Callithrix jacchus: one gene and its partners. The protein of the gene in region 1 interacts with the protein of each later gene in a biochemical or structural test. Links are inferred from orthologs where the notes say so. Each region holds a gene or a part of one and is shown in the gene's direction. Other genes may lie near its edges. The genes, in order: CCND1, ESR1, CRYAB, CDK6, CDKN1C and RB1.

Region 1 (4,216 bases):
GATGCAGAAACTGAGATTCTTTGGCCGTCTGTCCGCTCGTGGGTGCCCTCGTGGCGTTCTTGGAAATGCGCCGATTCTGCCGGCTTGGATATGGGGTGTCGCCGCGCCCCGGAGTCCCCCCTCCTCGTGGTCTCCCTAGGCTGCGTGTGGCCTGTGGGGCTTCCCAGTTGTCCCCTACTGCAGAGCCACCTCCACCCCACCCCCAAATCCCGGGGGACCCGTTCGAGTCGGACCGGGCCCCCTGTACCCCTCTTTTCTGGCGGGGAGAAAGGCTGCAGCGGGGCGATTTGCATTTCTATGAAAACCGGACTACGGGGGCAACTCCGCCGCAGGGCAGGCGCGGCGCCTCGGGGATGGCTTTTGGGCTCTGCCCCTCGCTGCTCCCGGCGTTTGGCGCCCGCGCCCCCTCCCCCTGCGCCCGCCCCCGCCCCCTCCCGCTCCCATTCTCTGCCCGGCTTTGATCTCTGCTTAACAACAGTAACGTCACACGGACTACAGGGGAGTTTTGTTGAAGTTGCAAAGTCCTGGAGCCTCCAGAGGGCTGTCGGCGCAGTAGCCGCGAGCAGCAGAGTCCGCGCGCTCCGGCGAGGGGCAGAAGAGCGCGAGGGAGCGCGGGGCAGCAGGAGCGAGAGCCGAGCGCGGACGCAGCCGGAACCCACAGCCCTCCCCAGCTGCCCAGGCAGAGCCCCAGCCATGGAACACCAGCTCCTGTGCTGCGAAGTGGAGGCCATCCGCCGCGCCTACCCCGATGCCAACCTCCTCAACGACCGGGTGCTGCGGGCCATGCTGAAGGCGGAGGAGACCTGCGCACCCTCCGTGTCCTACTTCAAATGTGTGCAGAAGGAGGTCCTGCCGTCCATGCGGAAGATCGTGGCCACCTGGATGCTGGAGGTGCGGGGCTTCGGGCGGCTCTCTTAAGACCTCCCTGCAACTTGTTGCCCATACCCACGTTTCTTTGCTTCTCACTCCCCTCTCTTCTCTCCCGCTAGACCTTTGAAGTTTGCCGGGGTGTTGCTAGGTATTTTCAAAATAAAAATTGTGGGTATTTTCTGAAGAAGGAAGGGGTGGGGGTGGGGGTGCTAGGAGTTGCGTTTCCTGGGACGGGAGGAGGGGGTCGGGGAGGGGTGCCTCCAGGAGAAGCCAGTGCCAGGAGCACCCCAATGGGCCCGAGGGTGCGGGCTGGCAGGTTAGGTGCGCTTTGTGCCCCCCGCCTGCGCCCCAGCCATGCTGCGGCTCCTCTCCCGGCCGCCGCGGCCGAGAGCCTCCAACTCCGGGGGGAGGGGGCATAGATTTGATTTTTAAATTACTATCCATGGACACGTATGCAAGGGCTTCTCGTGCCAGTATTATGCGCCATCTTTGCTCTTTTATTGCACAGCAAAAGTGTTTATTAATAATTGGGGGCAGGGTGGGGGCGGGGAGCGGCCGCCGGGCGCTGGGGCCGCAACTAGGGGCCCGGCGGCTGCCCGGAGCCCGCGGGAGGGGCGCGGGGACGCAGCATGGGTAGTTTTGGGGGGACCCCGCTGGGGAAAGGGGGGCCTTTGTTCAAGCAGCGAGTCCCAAAGCGCCCCGCACGGGCAGCCTGGGCCGGAGAGCACGCCGAGCTGCAAGGTCGCGTGGCCCCCAAGACGCCAGGGCTGGATCCCCGTCTGCAGGGATCTCGGCTTGGGGGACCTTCTCCGAGCGAGCCGGGGGCCTGGGAGAACATTTTCACACCTTCGGTAGGCGCCTGAGGGGCCCGCAAGTATTTTTAAATAATTTTTGAAAGTGCGGCGTGGTGCCCTTGCGAGAGGGAAACACCGCCCGCGCCCAGGGGGAAGGGGGTCCCCGGAGTTTGAATTCCTGGGGCTTCCCCCGGACCCTGTAACAAACTCCCGACCCCCGGCCTGGGTAAAGGGCCGTCCGAGGGTCATTTTCAGGGTATTTTTACGCACTTAGTTATTTTTTAAATATTTTTAAATATTTTTTGAAAAGATGACGTCTGGGGAAATGCGGCGCGGCGGCCTGGGACGCCACCTTTGTGTCTCGCAGGCGCGGCGCCCAACCCCGCGGCCTTTTGCGCGGCCCCGCACCCCAGTGGGTGTCGACCCACAGCCAGAGGGGCCACGGAGCTCCAGGGCGGGCTGGGGTCCCCGGGGCCTGCAGCCCGCGCCGCCGCCCAGCTGTGCCCGCTCCCGCCCCCACCATGCCAGCCTCGCGGGGACTTTCCCTTTCAGTTTCAGGGAGGGTGGATACTCGGGACGCGCGCGAGAGGGGGCGCATCACAGGAAGCTTCTGCCGCCCCCGGCCCCGACCCCTCGGCGCCCTCCAGAACTGGTGGTCCTGCCGAGCGCGATGGGCATGCGAGGGCGGGGGAGTGGGGTGGGGGTGGCGCGACCTGGCGGCGGCGGTCACGGGCCCCGTGCCCCCGCAGGTCTGCGAGGAGCAGAAGTGCGAGGAGGAGGTCTTCCCGCTGGCCATGAACTACCTGGACCGCTTCCTGTCGCTGGAGCCAGTGAAAAAGAGCCGCCTGCAGCTGCTGGGGGCCACCTGCATGTTCGTGGCCTCTAAGATGAAGGAGACCATCCCCCTGACGGCCGAGAAGCTGTGCATCTACACCGACAACTCCATCCAGCCCGAGGAGCTGCTGGTAACCGCGGGACCCCCGCCGCCCCCCGCGAGCCGCAGGACCACCGGGCCGGGGAAGGTGCAGGGGCGGCAGGCGGCCCCTTTGCCGGGTGTCCTCGTCCTGGGAGCGGGTGGGATCCTAGCCGCCCCGTGCGCGCTTGCCTGCGACTCCCACCTCGTTAGCGCTCTGCGGTGTGGCCGAAAAATGGGCGGCGCGCGCCCTCCAGCGGCTGCACCGGGAACGCCGCGCTCCACGCTGAGCCTTCCGTTCCAGGTGGTGGGAAGTCTTTTTGTTTCCACTTGCAGAATCTTTTCACGCGGCGGGCGCCTTTTCTGTTTTGATCTGGGATCGTGTGTTGCCCCAGCTTCCTGGACCCCCCAGCATTCGCCAGTCCTGCTCCCGCACCCCCAGGACCACACGAGACTCAGGGGCTAGGGCCATACTGCCGGCTTCCCCGCGTCCCCAGGCCGGCCCGCACCTCCCCTGATAGCCGCTCACCCTGTGTTCGCAGCAAATGGAGCTGCTCCTGGTGAACAAGCTCAAGTGGAACCTGGCCGCCATGACCCCGCACGATTTCATCGAACACTTCCTCTCCAAAATGCCAGAGGCGGAGGAGAACAAACAGATCATCCGCAAACACGCGCAGACCTTCGTTGCCCTCTGCGCTACAGGTAGGGCAGGCCCAGCCGCCCCCAGCCTCCCCTTGAAAGCCAGCACCTTAGGTGGCCTGGCCAGCTTCTTGCTCTGCACCTGGGTGCTGTCCCGGAGGACGTCCCTAGGCCCCCGCCTGCGCTGGGAAGAGTTCTTCCAGCTCTGGTGAGCAGAGGTGCTGGCTTGTTTGCGCTGGATGGAAGGGGATTTGCCCTTACGGCCGCGCCACCACGCAGCCAGCCTGCCTGTGTCTAGATGCTGTGGCCTCATCCTCCAGGCCGAAAGGGGTTTACCTTGGCCGCAGGGCCGCCTCCTTTCCCCACCGACCTCCAGCCCTTCTTGTGTCCTTAAGGAGCCTGAGCTGCGGGGGCCCCCTCCTGGCCTCTCCCAGGCTGGGCGACTTGCCAGAGGCGCCTCCGGGGGCGGGGAGAGCTGTCGGCCCGCCTGCACCACGTGTTCTGGGCAGCTGAGTGCAGGGGTGTCCAGCAGAGGAGCTCAGCTGCCTGAGGCCCTGCCAGGGGTGCCGCCAGTCTGCTGGGCTCAGCTGAGCCCTGGGGAGCACTTCAGAGCAGTCTCAGCTTAGGCCGCCACCGTGGGCAGCAGAAGTACCCAGTCCTCACCTCCGCTGGCATGGCCCTGGCCCCAGGACCCAACTGGGATAGACACATGCATACACAGGGTGCTGCCTCCTGCTGTCCCCAGCCCTGCCTCTGACCCCCCTGTGCGCCTCCTTCCCTGGTTACCCTGATGGGGGGGCCCTGCCCCCTTTTGGTCAAGCCTCAGTTGTCACATCTGTTTGTGGGCTCACTCTGGGTGACAGGCCACAAGGTCCGGGACATCAAAGACACAATAGCATCTTCTCCCCCAATCCCTTGAGGGCAGAGCCCCCCCAAACCTATTTCAGCGCACCCTCTGACACAGGTAGCCAGCAGTTAGTGTATTATTCCAGAATGGTTT
Region 2 (3,500 bases), on another chromosome or scaffold:
CTTGTTAATGCAAACTTCTTTTCAGAGCCAGAATCTGGAATCATACTTAATAGAGAATGATCTTGTACAAGTTGGTTAATTTCACTAATGGTTTCTCAAATTTAACAAGATTATTGTAAGAACTAAATTAGTTCTAAACTGCTTCCAAGTATGTAAATGCTTAAAATATGTAGTAAGTGCTGAATGCATATTAGTAATAACAATCTTTATTATAATTTTTACTATTACATGAGAAAGGTTTATTTTAACACTGAGCAAATGGGAAGAGTTCATGGTGTCTCTACGTTTTTAAAGTGTCATTTAATATATTATATATAAAAACACATATATAACATATATATATATATATATTTCAGTCACATGTTTGTTCAAATATACCTTATGAGCAAGTCATTCTTATTTATTCTTGCCCATCTCCTTGGACTACATGCTTTTAAAAACTGTCTTTTAATTTACTATTAAGACAATATTACTAGCAGAAGTAGGCTTTGATGCTAAATCATATTTTAAGAATAACTAATTAGAATTCTGTTCTTGTTATAACACCTGTTACACACACACAACCCTACCTGGTGTGTCAGAGTCAGTTTGTTTGGGCTCATGAGCACCCACTGTTCAATTTTCAGGAGTTTTATAAGCCACTTGATATCAGACAAGTGGCCTGAAATTTGCGATGGTGGCAGCATTTACACCATGAACACTGGCCACTGCTACAAATCAAAGTCTTTTTCTTTTTCTCTTGGAGACACACTTGTGAAACACTTACCAGCTCACCTTGCTTGAGAGTATTTCTTCACATAAAATGAAAGACGGTTAGCTTTGAAGATTGTTTTGTATAAAAGTTTACATGGGAAAAAAATAAATTAATTGGTTGTTTTCCCCCTGTGTTTTCAGGGATACGAAAAGACCGAAGAGGAGGGAGAATGTTGAAACACAAGCGCCAGAGAGATGATGGGGAGGGCAGGAATGAAGTGGGGTCCACTGGAGACCTGAGAGCTGCCAACCTTTGGCCAAGTCCGCTCATGATCAAACACTCTAAGAAGAACAGCCCAGCCTTGTCCCTGACAGCTGACCAGATGGTCAGTGCCTTGTTGGATGCTGAGCCCCCCATAATCTATTCCGAGTACGACCCTACCAGACCCTTCAGTGAGGCTTCGATGATGGGCTTACTGACCAACCTGGCAGACAGGGAGCTGGTTCACATGATCAACTGGGCAAAGAGGGTACCAGGTAAGAATGTGAAACTCAGCTTTTAAGAGTCAATAGCTTTTCAAGAACTGGTTGTGATGTCCTGGGAGAAATAGTAGGAGAAAAAGAAGCAAGCAATAACTTGTTATGTAACTCGTTTCAAGGTTATAGGAGATGTGTTCATTTTCAGTATCAACACACTGTAATTTTCCTGGATGTTAGAAAAGAATATTTTGAAATCAAAATCTAAGAGACTAAAATTTTTAAATTGACATAATTTATTTTTAACCATCTATTCACCAAAAAGATTTAGGGTGGACACTACATGATAAAACTATTTAATAGTATATGTTCACAGTAGCAGAAACTTTTAACACTAAATGATCTACGAAAGTTTTTAATATTTAATGACCTTTGTTCAAAACATCTCAATTATTAATAAAACAATTTTATCTTGAAAAGATTTTTAAGATTGGGTGTGATGCCTCATGCCTGTACTCCTAGCACTTTTGGGGGCTGAGGTGGGAGATTGCTTGAGCCCAGGAGTTTGAGGCCAGCCAGGGTAACATTTTGAAACCCTGTCTCTACAAAAAAATTTTTTTAAATTAGCTGGGTGCAGTAGCACACACCTGTGGTCCCAGCTACTGGGGAGGCTGAGGCTAGAGGATGGCTTGAGCCCAGGAGGTCAAGGTTTCGGTGAGTCGTGTTTATATGGAGTGCCACTGCACTCTAGCTCAGGTGACAGCAAGACCATGTCTTAAAAAAAAGTTAAGAAAGATCTTTATGGATTAAAGAGATAATAATAAGGTTATTTACTGAATGCCAATTATTTATCCAACCTAGTTTATGCTTAGTATTTTAGGAAAAAGAGAAAGACAGTGGAAAAATAAATTAAGGTATCATCACTGAAAGAAACTTTTAGAGACACAGTGGCTGAAGTGACACCTTGCTCCTTTAGTTGACTCTCAGAAGTGGTATTGTGGTAAAATTAGACTGTTACTCTTGTTGCTCAGGGAGAAGAACTCAAGTGTGTGTGGAAACAAGACTAGGAAATGACTTTCTCCCTGCCCCAGTGTATCCATTCAGGAACTAATGTAGATGAATCGAGGCAAGAGGAAGCTAAATTTTTTTTCTGGGCTTATAGTTAAAATGAGTGATAGATTTAGTTAGACATTTTCTCATTTGGGTTCTTTTAATAGATACAATTAATTGTTTCCTATGAAGCACAAAATGTTTTGTATGAAACTAAAAAAATGTGGAGTTTGGTATTTGTGTTTCAAGGGTCACTGCTGTGTTACAGCCCAAGTGAACTTATGTTTGGAATTGGAGAATCTTACATGTATTTGTATCTATCAGCATATAAATATGTGGGCTGTAGAAGAAGGAGCCAGCAGTATCGGAACCCAACCTTGTCAGAGGCCACCGTTTTGGTGGTTTGGGTGGTTATTAGGTTACATGGAAGCATGGAGAATGACAGGCAAATTTAGGTTTTCAGTGTCAGTTGAGCTGGCAAACAAAAATTCCTGGTCATCTTCAGAATGAAAAGTTTTCTTGAGTACTTACATATTTTAGCATTTTTATATGAAGCAGATACATTATAAGTTAATTGCTGGATCTAACTGTCATGTAGCTGTAATTTTTTTCTTTATATTTGTTATTGCCTTGTTCTTATATTTTAGGGAAAGAGAAACAAAGGAAGAAACTAATGGTCATATATTTGAGAACCAACTCTTGGTTGCTGTTTATTTTTATTTTCCTGTAAACATATATTTTCCCTCATAAAATCTTGGTAATATTAGCCCTGGAGTACTGCTGAATTCAAGTATAGACATTTTCCTATGTATCGGTAGATTCCCATCATGACATTTTTATAGCAATAAAATATTAAAGAACATTTGAAACAACTGGAATTAAGCTCAAATATATTACCAGTGGTTGAAGAATTCACATCAATAATTTTCTGAATTTAAGAATAAAGTGGAGAAGCCAAGGAAAGGAAAATATTATATATAGGCTAATAATTGTTAAAATGCAATTATTAAAGCCAGAGCTCGGCAAACTTATGCTAATAAGATCTACAGCAAAACCACTCTATAATTGCATCATGTTAGTTTAAAAGACCTGAATGATTCCAAAATCCTTAGACGAATAAACTATGTCTTCTTACTTGATCATTTAAAAAACAATTATAAAGGCGAAAAATGAAACCGTGTGTGTGTGTGTGTGTGTGTGTGTGTGTGTGTGTTCCATGGGAAAGCAGCTGTTGTAAATCAAAGGCCTACTTGTCTGACCAAGCAAAATAAAATTAGTCA
Region 3 (4,045 bases), about 110 Mb from region 1:
ATGACTGGCTTCAGGAGATCAGTTAAGCCGAGTGGGGTGGAAGCCAGTAACGCTGGGAGGTCAGCCCAGAATTTCGGGAGGGTGGGAGGCAAGGGGGTGGCGTCTGTGCCATACCTTCTCCAAAGCGCTGCTCACCCAGGCGACTCGGGTTGGCAAATTCGTACTCGGCGGTGGCTGGGTGGGCATGTGGCACTGAGCGGCCCGACATGGCTGCAGAAGCAGCGGAAGCCCTGGTCCGAGGTGCAGCCCCAACAGACGCAGCGCGACCCCTCCAGCTGCCGGGAGAGCTAGGGCTCAATAGGAGGTGGGGGCGGGGTCGACACCACCCAAAATAGTGCCGTGCCTCTGCGGGGGAGGGGTGGGGAGTGGGGGCCCTCAGTGAGAGCAACAGGGTGTAACCAGTGCCGCCCGGACCCCTAGTCCCCTCCCCCGAACACTTCAGCTGTTGCAGGGGGTCTGAGAGGACAGCTGAAGGTCCTGGCTGGGAACAAGCTGGGGAGGGGGAGCTAGTGGTGTCTAGGACATGAAGAGGCCTTGCTGAGACCCTCACGAACGGTTTCCACGTTTCCACAGCACATTTCCTCCTCCTCAGTGGCAGGCACTGTGCACCCAATAAATTCCTAAAGCTCTCCTGGATTTAATTAATGTTCTGAGAGCCACATAGGATGAAAGATGCAAGAAGTCTTTTGCTCTTTCTTCAGGGGTGAGGTCTTTCTGCCCAGATGTCAGGGTCCTCCCCTGAACCCAGGTCAACCCAGGGCACGAGGCAGATGGCTGGTACTGACATGTTGACCATCACTGCTCTCTTCTAAGGACTCACAAAGAGTTAATGTCCCTGGGGCCCAGCCTAGGAAGATTCCAGTCCCTGCCCAGGCCCAAGATAGTTGCTGGCCTGATTCCCTTGGCATGCAGGACTGGAGAGGAGGAGGAGGGGCACACCCCCCTATGCCTGCTTGGGATTCCTGACTCTGTCCCAGCTTCAGAGAACAGGGGTGGGGGTGGGTGCCCATTGGGTGTGGACAGAAAGCTAGTGAAACAAGACCATGACAAGTCACTGGCCAGCTCAGACGTGTTTGTGTTTCTCTTTTCTTAGCTCAGTGAGTACTGGGTATGTGTCACACTGCCAAATCCCCGATCACAAGTCTCCATGAACCGGCAGTGAGCTAGGATAATAAAACCCCTGACATCACCATTCCAGAAGCTTCACAAGACCGCATATATAAGGGGCTGGCTGTAGCTGCAGCTGAAGGAGCTGACCAGCCAGCTGACCCCCAACACTCACCTAGCCACCATGGACATCGCCATCCACCACCCCTGGATCCGCCGCCCCTTCTTTCCTTTCCACTCCCCCAGCCGCCTCTTTGACCAGTTCTTCGGAGAGCACCTGTTGGAGTCTGATCTTTTCCCAACATCTACTTCCCTGAGCCCCTTCTACCTTCGGCCACCCTCTTTCCTGCGGGCACCAAGCTGGTTTGACACTGGACTCTCAGAGGTGAGTCTTCCCCTCCCAGGATGGGAGAGTCCTTACTGGAACATCCTGGAAACTTCTCCATCCATTTTTCTTTCCTTCCCTGCCTAAACAATTTTAGGCACATGTGTGTCCAAAAGTGAAGAAAAATGAGGTTGCTAGTGCCTTCCTCCCCTGTCAGCTATTTCTATTTGATGGTCCTCTGTATCCCATTTATTACATTTTTCTATGCACCGTCGAGTTCATCCTCTGTCCCCTAACTTCTCTCTGCAGGATACCCCTTTCTAGTTTGGTTCATAACGATCTGCAGGGAAAGAGCTGCCTTCGAACTCCTTTACTCATCTCTTCTAACACCTCAGACTCTTGACCAATTTTACCATCTCAGGTTTCAGAGCCAGGAGAGAGCCCTGCCTCATCCTGAGCTGTTCATCCCCACTGGGTGGAGCTGGGGCCAACCACCACTATTTTCTGCCTTTCTATTCCTTCTTCTAGGATTTTCTGGGTCCCTTAAGGCTGTGACAGAGCACTGGCCTGGGTCCAACCAAGCCTTATGAGGAAACAATATAGGTCTAGTCTTGGGATCCCCCACTTGTCCTGAGAGGGTGGGAGAAAAGGGTGAACAAATAAGGTTGACCGAAGCTGTTACAGATAACACTCTGGTTTAAAAATATTTGAGTGTGAGTAAACAGGACCTGAGTGGGCAAGGGCTTTGGAAGGACAAGCAGGACCAGCAGAACATTCCAGATTGGGTGGGTGGAAAACTGGCAAAGAGACCTGAGCAAGAAGAAGAAAGGCCTTTGTCTCACAGACAAACCACAAAGCCAGGCATTGGAGTCAGAGAGGCAGCAGATGCCAGGCCTGCACCCATCTTTGTGACTGGTCCCCTGGGTGATCTGTCTTCTTCTCTGTCCCTGGAAATAAAGTTTAGGTCTGATCACCACGAGCCTTAGGTATCACTATGGTGGCTCCCTGAAGCAGAGAGCCGTGTTTATTTAAAAAGGCGATTTTCTTTAAGCAGAAAAAAGAAGGATGAATTACCTGGACAGAAAGCAACTCTGCAGAATGGTAAGACAGCACCAGTATAATTAGTATTTTTGCCATCTTTTTCCAACCCCATTCTCTTACCTTGCTATTTTTAGATGCGCCTGGAGAAGGACAGGTTCTCTGTCAACCTGGATGTGAAGCACTTCTCCCCAGAGGAACTCAAAGTTAAGGTGCTGGGAGATGTGATTGAGGTGCATGGCAAACATGAAGAGCGCCAGGTATGTAGCTTGTTTTTGGTTTTTGTTTTCTGCTCATTCATTCAGTGCATACTGTAATAGTCTCAGTAGAGCTCTCAGCTTCGGAGGCTGGCTACATTCCAGTCCCAAGCCATAACGGTCTGGATCAGGGCTTACAAATCAATGTCTGGAAGACTAAGTTAGGGAGAGACCTACTGCTGTCATGACTGTTGTTATGGCCAGAGATGCGGCTTTTGTTTTATTTGATCACCTTAGATGGGATGCTGATGCCCCATCAAGGCCAGTGGTTCTGAATCTCGGCCACATTAGAATCACCAGGGGAACTTTCAAAAATCCTAATGCTCAGGCATACCCCAGACCAATTCAGTCAGAATTTTTAGGGATGGGACCCAGACATCAGCATTTTTTAAGGTGATTCTAATCTACAGTCAAGGTTGAGAACCACCGATTTAGGGTTAGGGTTGTAAGACACCTAGTTGCTTTGCATAATTACATTAACTACATGTACCCTGAAGGCTCTTGAGTTGTGACTTCTCTTTACTTGTGCAAGAATCCACGTTTCATCTTTAGTCCATCTTAATGCTGAACCACTTGGTTTGTCTAAATTTCAGTCTTCAGTCCCCCTGTAGCCTATGTGGAAATCAGTTAATGAGAGCCTGTTTGGTTACATGCTTGAGAGTCGGCAGGCATACGGGTAAAGGTCACCTACCCTTTGTGGGAATTCTGACGAATGGAACAGCTTCTCATGACTTTGTGAGAGGGCTTTAAAATTGTTTCTTACCAATTAATGATAGCTCAGAACCTGTGCATCAACTAGTACAGTTTGTCCTTAGTAACGTCCTCGAGCTGTTTCCATTTTGCTCATATGATTTAGGTTTGGGTTATAGTCTCCTTGGATGGAGTCATTTTTCTTCTTCTTCTTCTTTTTTTTTTTTTGCAGCAGTCCTATTGTTCTGGAACATTCTGGGACATTCCTGAAGAGTCAGGACAATTTCCGGGTTTCCTCAGGGACTCAGATTCTAAATGAGATTCCAAATTCTGTAGGCCCAGCCAACAGAATTTGATCTAAACCTTTGGGAAATACCCCTAAACATGTCTATGCCTCTGGGTTTGAAAAACAATGATGTATTGGGCTGTTTCAGACTTCTCAGATTCTCACTGGTAGGAATGACTCTACCTAGGCAACTTCATCTTAACTCCAAACCTGAAACAAAGAATTATTTATTCTTCCTATGTTGTCATGGCATCTGGTCTCACCTAAGGGGAAATCGGGATGCTTGAGTTCTGGGCAGGTGATAATATTTCCTGTTTTTATTTCTCTGCCTCTTTCCTCATT
Region 4 (3,500 bases), on another chromosome or scaffold:
TATAGAAGCTAAAGATGAAGAGCCAGCATGACATTACTTTAGGTTAGTCATGCTTTTTAAAATTCAGTGCTTACAAGTTGTGTGCATGTGTTTCCAATAAAGACTTATTTGCCACAGCAGAAGAGGACTTCTTGAACATTTTGTGCTACATTTTCACACTCCTGTTTATTCATTGCAACTTATTGGACCTGCAGTGTTTCTCAAGTCTTGAAGGGTTTTCCCTCCCCCACACAGTCTTCTCCAGAGTTTTGGGAAGCTTAGAAGGTAACCCCTGCCAGTTCAGAATATTCACTTAGGGGGATCTCAAAAATGATTCTAGGTCACTGCATGCCCCCTCAAGTGCTTTGTTCACATCAATCTTGTAGCAGTGGTCATGTTTCCCTTTAGTTGTTTGTGATTCTGTCTCCCCGAGAAATCAGGACACTTACCTTGACAATAATCATCCTAATAATTACTGTTTGTCAAATGTTTACCATATGCCAGAAACTGCACCAGCACTTGGCATACATTACTTCATTTACCCCCCTAATAGTAGGAAAAGTAATTGCTACTTTCTCCACCTAATAAAAGAAAAAACTAAGGCTTAGGTTTTAAACAAGCTAGGATATAAAGGCAGAACTCCCAACTCTAAAGGAAGAACCAAAACCATAAACCAGTAACCGAAAACATAAACCAGTAACCAGATATACTGTTCTCAGAGGATTCAGTGATCTGACCGATAAGTGTATCCTCATAGCCCCTTTCAGCTCTGAAATCCATGAGGGTGTCCAGTCATTTTTCTAACCCTTATATTAACAAAATGGCTCCATCCTCCCTTGTATACACCATTCTCATATTTGGGTGGGGGGAGTAGGTCACTCTTAATTATCACAAATTTCAGAGGATCATGACATCATGCCCAATGTCTTAGTTCCTACTTTCCAACACTGTTCCTGAGTGTTAAATCTTGTACATATTTATATTGATCCTAAAATTAGAAAAAGATCTGATACTGGTCTATATTCTGAATGCTCCTCTCCTCCATGCTGGTTGAAAATAACAGTAATAAGAGCTGCCATTTACTGAATATTAACTTGGTGCTAGGTGCTTTACAATAATCCTTTGATAAAGTGGGTTTTGTTACTTTCCCATTTTACAGAGAGGGAAACTAAGGCTTAGAGAGGTTAAATGGCTTGCCTTATTTTACATACTCATTTTTTCATTGATTTGATAAAGGAATACATCGGAGATTTGAATTGAGGTTTTCCAGACTCTAGTTTAAATCAAGACTGTTAATACTCTAAAAGAGTTGATTACAACTGGGCATGGCGGCCCACACCTGTAATCCCAGCACTTTGGGAGGCTGAGGCAGGAGAATAGCTTGAGCCCAGGAGTCTGAGACCGCCCTAGTCAATATAGTGAGACCCCGTCTCTACAAAAACTAAACCAGCCTACCATGGTTGTGTGCACCTGTGGTCCCAGCTACTTGGGAGGCTGAGGCAGAAGGGTCTCTTGAGCCCAGGAAGTCAAGGCTGCATCACACCCCTGTGCTACAGCCTGGGTAACAGAGCAAGAGCCTGCCTAAAAGTGGACAATGCTTAGAATAGTGCTTGACATACAGTGAGTGTTTGGTATTAGGTGCTATCAAATAATAATCACCATTAAAAACAATATTGTTATACACTGGATTTTGATTGTTGAAATGACACATTAAACAATATAGAAGCAAAAAGTGTCCCATCACGACCTCTTCTTTCCTTCCCCCAGCATGAGCCACTGAGACCAGTTTGACAGATAACCTTCTAGAACATTTCCTGTCCCATCAAAAATATTTTAAAATTGTCCTTTCATTAATAAAATACAGGTTGAGAGTGAAACTTTTTGCAGTGTTGCTGAAAGTGTGGGAGTGGAAAGGCAGGAAGGGAGACAGATTCACTCAATCAGCCATCCTTATCAAAATGCCTGCTGCGTGCCAAGCAGCCACAAAATGCTGAGGCTGAACTTCTGTTTTGAGCGTTTATTGATTTTCTCTTTTTTTATTTTATTAGGATATGATGTTTCAGCTTCTCCGAGGTCTGGACTTTCTTCATTCACACCGAGTAGTGCATCGCGATCTAAAACCACAAAACATTCTGGTGACCAGCAATGGACAAATAAAACTCGCTGACTTCGGCCTTGCCCGCATCTACAGTTTCCAGATGGCTCTAACTTCAGTGGTGAGTGGGAGAGTGCTGTCCTTTAGTAAACTTACTTTTCCTCTTTTGAATAACAGTCTGTCCCCCTTCCATGTCCCTAATGTTAGTACTGCCCATGGCTAGTTGGTTGATAGAATGTCTTTGCCCTTTTTTATATGCCAGTGGGTAGGCAAAAAGCATTCTGCCTACAGCTACAGTCACATCCAGGCTGGGCTTGTTGTGAACAGGACCCATTGCAGAAATAGCCTGTTGCGTCTTAGCCACTGGACAGGAATCAGTTACAGGTTTCCAAATGCTTTCTGCCATAACCACTGTTTTCAGAGCTGTATGCACAATGCCCAGGGAACACACAGCTCAAGGTCAGGGAAGAAAGAGTATAAGCAATGTTGACCTGTCTGCAGCATCCTGGTTTGAGAAACAGAGTGTCTACATAAGTGTGTTAAATCACTTCTCTGAATCTGTGGTGCCAGCTGTAAAGAAGAAATCAAATTTACAGTGAACTTGGATAATGCATGAATGTTTTAACACTGCCATGCCAGGTGAAGGCTCATATAAGCCTCAATAGAAAGAGCAAACCCAACGGCCCTGTTTTGGCAGAAAATGACAATTGTGATATCCTGTTTCTTTGTGCCATTCAGGTGCAAAACCATAATCTCCATTGACATTGCTTAGCTTCTATTTCTCCATATAGTTTATTATTTCTCAGATGGATTTTTGTGAAATTCTGCACCTCAAATACAAACATAGCAGCCTGGAAATAGATGTTAATGTGCTTCTCTTAGAAAGCTATTTTGCATACAGTAAATTCACACCTTCTGTACAGTAAATTCAGCCTTAAGAAAAAGAATTTTAGAAAAAGAAAATGTCTTTGTATATTCAAAGAAATAAAAAATAAAAAGAAGCCATGTTGTTCATCTTTACCCTCAGAGTGGTTCTCACATCAGCAACAGCACGGCCCTGTTGTTAAGAAATGATTGGCAGCATCTTTGGTCATTCTGTACAGCAAAAAAATTGTTTCCCCAAATTTCAGTAATACTTCAGCTGATAAGTAGAAATTCAAGAGAGGAGCTGGAAATTCTCTGAGACAGATAACTTGCCTTAGGAAAAAAATCCAGTTTATAAAAGTGTTCCCCACCTCCTACCCCCAATCAAAATAGGAGTGCTACCACCTGGACATGTAACACCAATTACTTTCCAAACACTATAGACTTTTCCTGGGGCATCAGAACTTTTAGTGCAGAGGATTCCTTGGAAAATGTTTCCATTGTTAGGAGATAAATCCTACTTGCTTCCTCTTTGCCCAGCATACACCACTGCTTTAGAGAA
Region 5 (4,034 bases), about 2.4 Mb from region 1:
GTCCTTCTCAGCCCCTTCCCCTATGACCTCAGGCAGATCTTTCACTTTTACCCAGTACAGCAGCCTCCAAGCAGCCTGAACAGGCCGATCCCGGGGCTGGGGTGGCCTGGCCCAAGGCTGAGGGGGGCCGGGACCCCCGACAGTGACATGATGGGCGCAGCCCAGTTTGGGCTAAGCCTGTGTTCCATCTACTGGGCAGGGTAGGCCTCCGCAGATGGCGGCTTCTCTCTCCAGCCCCAGGGGGCTGCTGGGCGCCTCTCCAAGTGTCCTACACATGGTCCCTCCGGGAAAGAGTGGAGCTGACCCCGTCCCCCCTTCCCGACTCGAGGGCCTTCGGGCCGGCAGGTGTGTGAGGGCTCCAGGTGCGCGGACCCTTCGAAGGGACACAACCCAGCAGCCGCAGCAGGCCGCGCGGGGGCAGCCGAAGACCCCGTCCGGCGCAGGCCGGGGCCGAGCTGGCAGCGGCGGGTCCAAGTCCCGTCAGCCGGCGCAGGAGGCCCAGGGGCGAGCACGGGACGGGGCTGGGCGCCGGGGTCCGGACCGGGCCGGGGTCGCGCGGGGCCTGGCCGGACACCGGACCCGCCGGGAGCCGGCCCCTGCCGCGCTGGACCGAGGCCCCCGCCTGCAGACAAAGGAGCCGGCGGGGGGCGGGAGCCGGGGGGGGGGGGGCAGCGGGGGGGATGGGGCGAGGGGGCGGGGCGTCGCGGTGTCACGTTACCGCCCGCAGCGCCCTTTAACTCCCGCCCCCGCCCCGCTCACCGCCCCCTTCCCCTGCTACAGCGCGCTCACCCCGCGGCCGCCAATCAGCCGCGCGCCCCGGCCGCGCGCCCCGCCTCGCCCTCGGTGGGTGTGCTCGCGGCCAATGGGCGGCGCGCGGGGGCGGGGCCGCGAAGGGGCGGGGCGGCGGGGCGGGGGCCAATCGCCGCGGTGTTGTTGAAACTGAAAATACTACATTATGCTAATCGCGGCCGGGCCCGCGCGCACGGGGGTGGGGCCCGCGCGTATAAAGCGGGCGCAGGCGGGCTGGGCGTTCCACAGGCCAAGTGCGCTGTGCTCGAGGGGTGCCAGCCAGGCCCGAGCAGCGAGCGAGCCAGCAGGCATCGAGGGGGCGCGGTTGCCGGCCCGACCAGACCAGCGAATTCCACGCAGGAGAGTGTTCGACCCGACCGCCAGGTAGCCGCCGCGCCCGCCCTTCCGCCGCGTCCCCCGCACACGCGGCGTCGGGCTGCGCGGGGTCTCCCTCGCGCCCGGCCTCCGCCCTCTCCTCCTGTCCTCTTCCCCCTCTTCTCGCTGTCCTCTCCTCTCCCGCTGCCCGCGATCGCGCAGTCCCGGGCCATGTCCGACGCGTCCCTCCGCAGCACATCCGTGATGGAGCGTCTTGTCGCCCGTGGGACCTTCCCAGTACTTGTGCGCACCAGCGCCTGCCGCAGCCTCTTCGGCCCGGTGGACCACGAGGAGCTGAGCCGCGAGCTGCAGGCCCGCCTGGCCGAGCTGAACGCCGAGGACCAGAATCGCTGGGACTACGACTTCCAGCAGGACATGCCGCTGCGGGGCCCCGGACGCCTGCAGTGGACCGAAGTGGACAGCGAGTCGGTGCCCGCGTTCTACCGCGAGACGGTGCAGGTGGGGCGCTGCCGCCTGCTGCTGGCGCCGCGGCCCGTCGCGGTCGCGGTGGCTGTCAGCCCGCCCCTCGAGCCGGACGCTGAGTCCCTCGACGGCCTCGAGGAGGCGCCGGAGCAGCTGCCTAATGTCCCGGTCCCGGCCCCGGCGTCCACCCCGCCCCCAGCCCCAGTCCTGGCTCCGGCCCCGGTCGCGGTTCCGGACGTGGCTCCGGTCGTGGCTCCGGGTCTGATCCCGGCTCAGATCCCGGCTCCGGTCCCGGCTCCAGTCGTGGCTCCGGGTCTGATCGCAGGTCCGGTCGCGGCCCCGGTCGTGGCCCCGGTCTTGGCCCCGGTCGTGGCCCCGGCTCCGGTTCTGGCTCCGGTTCTGGCTCCGGCCCCGGCTCCGGTCGCGGCCCCAGCCCCGGCCCCGGCCCCGGTCCCAGCTCCGGTCCCGGTTCCGGGCCCGGCCTTGGCTCCGGCCCCCGCCCCGGGCCCGGCCCCGGACGCGGCTCCTCAAGAGAGTGCCGAGCAGGGCGCGAACCAGGGGCAGCGCGGCCAGGAGCCTCTCGCTGACCAGCTGCACTCGGGGATTTCGGGACGTCCAGCGGCCGGCACCGCTGCTGCCAGCGCCAACGGCGCGGCGATCAAGAAGCTGTCCGGGCCTCTGATCTCCGGTGAGCCCCGCACGGCCCCGCCCCGGCCCGGCCCGGCCCCGCTTTGTCCCGCCGGCCGGTCTCCCCAGCCCTCGGGGGGCCTCGCTGGGTTCCCGCCTCCTCCCGTGGCATTAAAGGGCCCGCAGCGCTCAGGGCGCGGCTGCGCCCTCACCCCCCTCCCTGCCCCGTGGTCGTGCCCTCGAGCGGCTTGCGCGGGCGGGGTGGGAGGAGGAGCCCCGGCGGCGACCCCCCGGGAGCGCAGCCTTCACCCCCGGCCACAGGAGACCCTCCCCGGGCGCCGCCGGGCGTCGTGATCGCGGCGCGGAGGGGGTTAAGCGCAGCGGCGGCCCCGGGGGGCTTGGCCGCGGGACAAGGGGAAATGCTTACACAGCACATTGCGCGGCGACGTAAACAAAGCTGACCCGCCGCAGACCTCGGCGCGGGCAGGGACGGCGCCCCCACCCCGGCCAGCCCGCGCCCCAAGCCCTCTCCCGGCCCCCTCTTGGGTCTCTCGGCCGGCCCCGCCCTGACCGGCCGTGCGCGCTGTCGCCCGCAGATTTCTTCGCCAAGCGCAAGAGATCTGCGCCTGAGAAGGCGTCGGGAGAGGTCCCCCCGCCGTGTCCCGCTCCCAGCGGCGCCCCCGGCGTGGGCTCGGTGGAGCAGACCCCGCGCAAGAGGCTGCGGTGAGCCAAGTGAGTACGGCGCACCTGGGGGGCGCGGGGGGCCTTCCTGCGGGGTGCTCTCGGACTTTGCTGACCTCCCCTCTCTCCCCCGCTCCGCAGTTTAGAGCCCAAAGAGCCCCGAGGGAACCTGCCGGGGCAGCGGACGTTGGAAGGGCGCTGGGGCCTCGGCTGGGACCGTTCATGTAGCAGCAACCGGCGGCGGCTGCCGCAGAGCAGCGTTCGGTGTTTAAATTCTGAAAACTGTGCAATGTATTGATTACGTCTTTTTATATCTAAATGTATTCTGCACGAGAAGGTACACTGGTCCCAAGGTGTAAAGCTTTAAGAGTCATTTATATAAAATGTTTAATCTCTGCTGAAACTCAGTGCAAAAAAAAAGAAAAAAGTAAAAAAAAAGTAAAAAATAAAAAAAACCATGTATATTTGTACAAAAAGTTTTTAAAGTTATACTAACTTATATTTTCTATTTATGTCCAGGCGTGGACCGCTCTGCCACGCACTAGCTCGGTTATTGGTTATGCCAAAGGCACCTCCACCTCCCACATCGTCCCGTTATTGACAAGTGTATAACTTTATTCTCATAGCGGACTCTGGGGAAAGGGGTCACTCACAAGCTGTAGCTGCCATCACGCCCACCTAGCTTGCATTCTCTTCGCGCTTTCGCTCTCTCTTACTATTACTGTGTTTATCTTAAACTTGAAGACAAATCTGTTAAAATGGTTCCTGAGCCGACTGTACCACTGCCCCGGCCCCTCGTCCGCCGGGTTCTAAATAAAGAGGCCGAAAGATGCTGCAACTCCAGTCTGTTTGTGCTTGTGCCTGCCTCCTGCACCCCCAAAGCTGGAGAGCTAGAACGCAGGAGAGAGCAGGCCAAAGTGGCCATCCCCAGTCCAAAAGGGGAAGCCTCTCTCCCGGCTGGGCCTGGCCCACTCCCGCCTGCTCCAGTCACCTTATCTCAGGAGGGGCAGCTGGCCGGCACTGCACCCCACATTTATCACCTTCCACCTTCGGGGCTGCAGAAAGACAAGTGTGGGCTTCACGTAGCCCCAGCAGGCAGGCAGCACAGCCCCTGACTTGCTGCCCAGACCCAGGCTTGT
Region 6 (3,500 bases), on another chromosome or scaffold:
CAGTATCATCATGTAAGATGTGCTAGTAGGTAGAGAGATTATATGAAACATTGATAAGAGTAGACTACAGTTTAGCAAAGTTACTGCCATTAAATTGTATAATATTATCTTTGGGTTTTTAATATTTTTGTTGTTATGCTTATGCTGTTTTCCCAAACAGCTTTAGCTATTACATTTACTTTCCTTTGCAGGAGTGTTTTGCTGCTCTAAAGTATATTTGACTCACCATGCAAGCAAATATTTCTCACTGTGTGGTAGCCTTATTTTTCAATGACCATGAAAAAGATAATGATACATTTAAATTCGAAATATAATTTCTTTCTAAGGTAAAATAAGATCTCAAGATATTTAGTAATGTTCTCTTTTACAATAGTGCTATAATGTGTAAACTATTGAAACAAGTGTTTACTGAATTAATATGATTTATAAGTATATGCCAATTATATGATTATTTTCATTTGATAGGGTTGAGTTTGAAGAAACTGAAGAACCTGATTTTACAGCGTTATGTCAGAAATTAAAGATACCAGATCATGTCAGAGAGAGAGCTTGGTTAACTTGGGAGAAAGTTTCATCTGTGGATGGAGTATTGGTAAGGATTTTCTTAAAACATTCTGAATTTTTTTTCTCATTTAAAAAACAACTTCAAATCACTATACGAAAATTGAAAGATAGAAAAATATAAAGACAATAAAAGCTAATTATAATTCCATTACTCAGAGGATATTTACCTCTTGTAACATTAAAAATGTTTGGAAAAAATCTCGCTATATATGCCTCCCACCAAACTATTTTAATGCAGGTCTTAGTTATATTTTATTCACTATAATACAAGGACTTTTTAAAAAAAACCACCATACCTTATAAAATAATTTGTATACCTTCTAATATGCAGTCACTGTTCAGATTTCCTAATTGTCTTATAATTAATTTTGTTAGAATTCAGGATCTTGAAAATATTTTGATATATTCTTTTCATTTTTTCTTTGCATATGTATATATGTGTATGTTTAATAACAGCAGCAAAAAATTACCAGTATTTTATATGTACTGGGGGAATAGTATAAGAACTTTACATAGCTGGGTGTGGGGGTGCATGCCTGTAATCCCAGCTACTTGGGAGGCTGAGGTGGGAGGATTACTTGAACCTGGGAGGCGGAGGTTATAGTGAGCCAAGATCACACCACTGCACTGCAGCCTGGGCAACAAAGCAAGACCCTGTTGCCAAAAAATAAAAAAATAAGTCTGGACACAGTGGCTCAAACCTATAATCCCAGTACTTTGGGAGGTCGAGGTGGGTGATCACTTGAGGAGTTCAAGACCAGCCTGGCCAACATGGTGAAACCCCATCTCTACTAAAAATACAAAAAATAGCCAGGTATCGTGGTGGATGCCTGTAATCCCGGCTACTTGGGAGGTTGAGGCAGGAGAGTTGCTTGAACCTGCGAAGCAAAGGTTGCAGTGAGGCAAGATAATGCCACTGCACTCCAGACTGGGCAACAAAGCAAGACTCTATCTCAAAAAGGAAAAAAAAAAGAACTTTAGAAATATACAGATAACTCATTTTAAGACCATTGATATATGAAATATAAAATCTCTATTTTATGTGAAATCTTCATTTTAAAGATGAAGACACCAAAGTAGAGTGCGGTTGAGTAACTTGACCCTAGAAAAATAAGAACCTTGTCCCTAGAAAATAAGATCTCAAATATAAATTTGAGATTATATATAGTTATGTATAATTACGTGTAGTTACATAGTTTTGTATTTTCTTGTTTTTTCCTAATATGACCATTTTCTTATGTTATTAAATTTTTTTTCTAATATAGTTTCTAGTGAGAGTATTATATTTTAGCTATTGGATGTATTTTAATTTGTTAACTCTCACCATTATTGGACATTTGGGCTTTTTCCAACTTTTTGATGCTGTAAAATAATGTAATAAACTATGTATTCATAAGAGTAATGCTTGGTACAAAGTGAGTCCTTGATAATTTGTTAAATAAATTAATGAATGAATATCTGATTATTTTATTAGAATAAATTCTTTTAAGTTGAATTACTGCATCAAAAGCTATGAACTCTTGATGATTATTGCTAGATTACATTTCAGACAGATACTTTTAATGAATTTACCGTCTCAGTATAGTAGTGTAAGAGTATCTGTTTTTACTGATCAGATTAACAGAGCAAAATGTGTTTATTTATGTCCTATAAGAAAACTGTTTAAAACCATTAAAAAAAAATCTCTGGCAGTAAAAAAGAGAAAACAACTGTTGTAATTTCCAAAGAATTGAACATAGTCTTATACTTCTTATCTAAAAAGAGAGGATTACTGAGTATCTTGAATGTATGACTTGGGTGTTATAATCCCCAGGCATCTAATTTATATTTTAACTGACTTGGGAACTTCATGTACAAAGCTGTTTTTGTGCATATACAGTTAAACGGATCAGAGCGCCTTCACTTTTCTCTTCCTAAAATAATAGATTTTTAGTGTTCAGAAATTTTGGAAGGGATGGCTGATTATAGAGAGTATTAGTGTATATACATACTATAGTTTTCAATTTATAAGTGCATTGTGTTCCAAATCTGTTTGCAAGTGTGATATTGTAGTTAGGTTTCCAGCCTAGTTCACATAACTTATTTTTTTGTACTGAACTATAACAATAAAAGTTTTAACAGTAAAATCTTTTTTGAGCTTCAGATTTGAAAAAAAAAATATATATATATGCAAATGTTACTGTTTTATTGCCCTTTTTAAATCCCGGCTTTGTCTCTACCTTCCCTGGGAACTAGCCCAGTTTAAATCTTATTTTCTAATGGAGCTTGTGATGGGGACTAGGATGTGTGAAATTATTTATGGCTAGGTACTGGAGGAAGGTAAGAAAGGAATTTCATGTTACTTTTGGGATTTGAGGTATGCTTTTGAAGGGTATGGCAGAAGATGATGTCCTTGAAATATGATTTTAAGTGCAGTTAAGTTTTTGAGCGTTGGCCTGAGAATTTAACCTTCAAAAAGGAAACCCTTTTGACAGTAGAAAGTAGGTGATGTTTATTGGGATAGAGGATGGATGGGTTAAGAGTAAGGATTAAGAGTCAAGCAGATATACCACTTACTAGCTCCATGATCCTGAACATGTTACTTACAGTTTTCAAGCCTTAGTTTTCTTATCTGTAAAAGGAACTGACAATAATTTCTGGATCTTGGGGAGTTACTGTGCAGATTAAATAAATTAATGCATATAAAGCTCTTGTTAGAGTCAACGAATGTGTATGTTAGGTATGGCAAACAGAATAATTTTACTTAAGAATTGCCCTGGAACATTTTATCATTAATGTACTTTTTTTTAAGGAGAACTTAGGGTATTAGTTAAAATGGTTAAAAATTTAAATGCATTGTAGCTATTTTGATGTAGTATGGTTGTTAAAATTCTTATTTTTAAGTACTTTAGGGTCAGAAAACTTGTTTATGCATACATAAAACATGCTTACAGCTG

Evidence for each region.
Region 2: the proteins of CCND1 (region 1) and ESR1 form a complex in vitro, tested with the Homo sapiens proteins (2 studies listed by BioGRID). The link is inferred for Callithrix jacchus from reciprocal best matches to the Homo sapiens genes CCND1 and ESR1.
Region 3: of the proteins of CCND1 (region 1) and CRYAB, one has a biochemical effect on the other in vitro, tested with the Homo sapiens proteins (2 studies listed by BioGRID, with this or other methods). The link is inferred for Callithrix jacchus from reciprocal best matches to the Homo sapiens genes CCND1 and CRYAB.
Region 4: the proteins of CCND1 (region 1) and CDK6 form a complex in vitro, tested with the Homo sapiens proteins (3 studies listed by BioGRID and IntAct, with this or other methods). The link is inferred for Callithrix jacchus from reciprocal best matches to the Homo sapiens genes CCND1 and CDK6.
Region 5: the proteins of CCND1 (region 1) and CDKN1C form a complex in vitro, tested with the Homo sapiens proteins (2 studies listed by BioGRID). The link is inferred for Callithrix jacchus from reciprocal best matches to the Homo sapiens genes CCND1 and CDKN1C.
Region 6: of the proteins of CCND1 (region 1) and RB1, one has a biochemical effect on the other in vitro, tested with the Homo sapiens proteins (15 studies listed by BioGRID, with this or other methods). The link is inferred for Callithrix jacchus from reciprocal best matches to the Homo sapiens genes CCND1 and RB1.

The regions. Positions count from the first base shown.
Region 1 is NC_133511.1:126,558,929-126,563,144, forward strand, and holds the start of CCND1 (G1/S-specific cyclin-D1), read left to right. Parts: upstream 1-1,416; 5' UTR 1,417-1,499; coding exon 1,500-1,721; intron 1,722-2,413; coding exon 2,414-2,629; intron 2,630-3,119; coding exon 3,120-3,279; intron 3,280-4,216. UniProt on the Homo sapiens protein: Regulatory component of the cyclin D1-CDK4 (DC) complex that phosphorylates and inhibits members of the retinoblastoma (RB) protein family including RB1 and regulates the cell-cycle during G(1)/S transition.
Region 2 is NC_133505.1:158,786,676-158,790,175, forward strand, and holds part of ESR1 (estrogen receptor), read left to right. Parts: intron 1-894; coding exon 895-1,230; intron 1,231-3,500.
Region 3 is NC_133511.1:11,616,960-11,621,004, reverse strand, and holds the start of CRYAB (alpha-crystallin B chain), read left to right. Parts: upstream 1-1,245; 5' UTR 1,246-1,291; coding exon 1,292-1,492; intron 1,493-2,363; exon of another isoform or gene 2,364-2,497; coding exon of another isoform or gene 2,498-2,533; intron 2,534-2,607; coding exon 2,608-2,730; intron 2,731-4,045. Other genes in the region: HSPB2 (heat shock protein beta-2), read right to left, coding at 115-208; uncharacterized protein LOC118145697, read left to right, coding at 1,094-1,151. UniProt on the Homo sapiens protein: May contribute to the transparency and refractive index of the lens. Has chaperone-like activity, preventing aggregation of various proteins under a wide range of stress conditions.
Region 4 is NC_133512.1:56,894,362-56,897,861, forward strand, and holds part of CDK6 (cyclin-dependent kinase 6), read left to right. Parts: intron 1-2,027; coding exon 2,028-2,195; intron 2,196-3,500. UniProt on the Homo sapiens protein: Serine/threonine-protein kinase involved in the control of the cell cycle and differentiation; promotes G1/S transition. Phosphorylates pRB/RB1 and NPM1.
Region 5 is NC_133511.1:128,973,932-128,977,965, forward strand, and holds CDKN1C (cyclin-dependent kinase inhibitor 1C), read left to right. Parts: upstream 1-1,234; 5' UTR 1,235-1,335; coding exon 1,336-2,275; intron 2,276-2,810; coding exon 2,811-2,941; 3' UTR 2,942-2,946; intron 2,947-3,036; 3' UTR 3,037-3,733; downstream 3,734-4,034. Other genes in the region: uncharacterized protein LOC118145682, read left to right, coding at 200-937. UniProt on the Homo sapiens protein: Potent tight-binding inhibitor of several G1 cyclin/CDK complexes (cyclin E-CDK2, cyclin D2-CDK4, and cyclin A-CDK2) and, to lesser extent, of the mitotic cyclin B-CDC2. Negative regulator of cell proliferation.
Region 6 is NC_133502.1:67,635,181-67,638,680, reverse strand, and holds part of RB1 (retinoblastoma-associated protein), read left to right. Parts: intron 1-465; coding exon 466-592; intron 593-3,500. UniProt on the Homo sapiens protein: Tumor suppressor that is a key regulator of the G1/S transition of the cell cycle. The hypophosphorylated form binds transcription regulators of the E2F family, preventing transcription of E2F-responsive genes.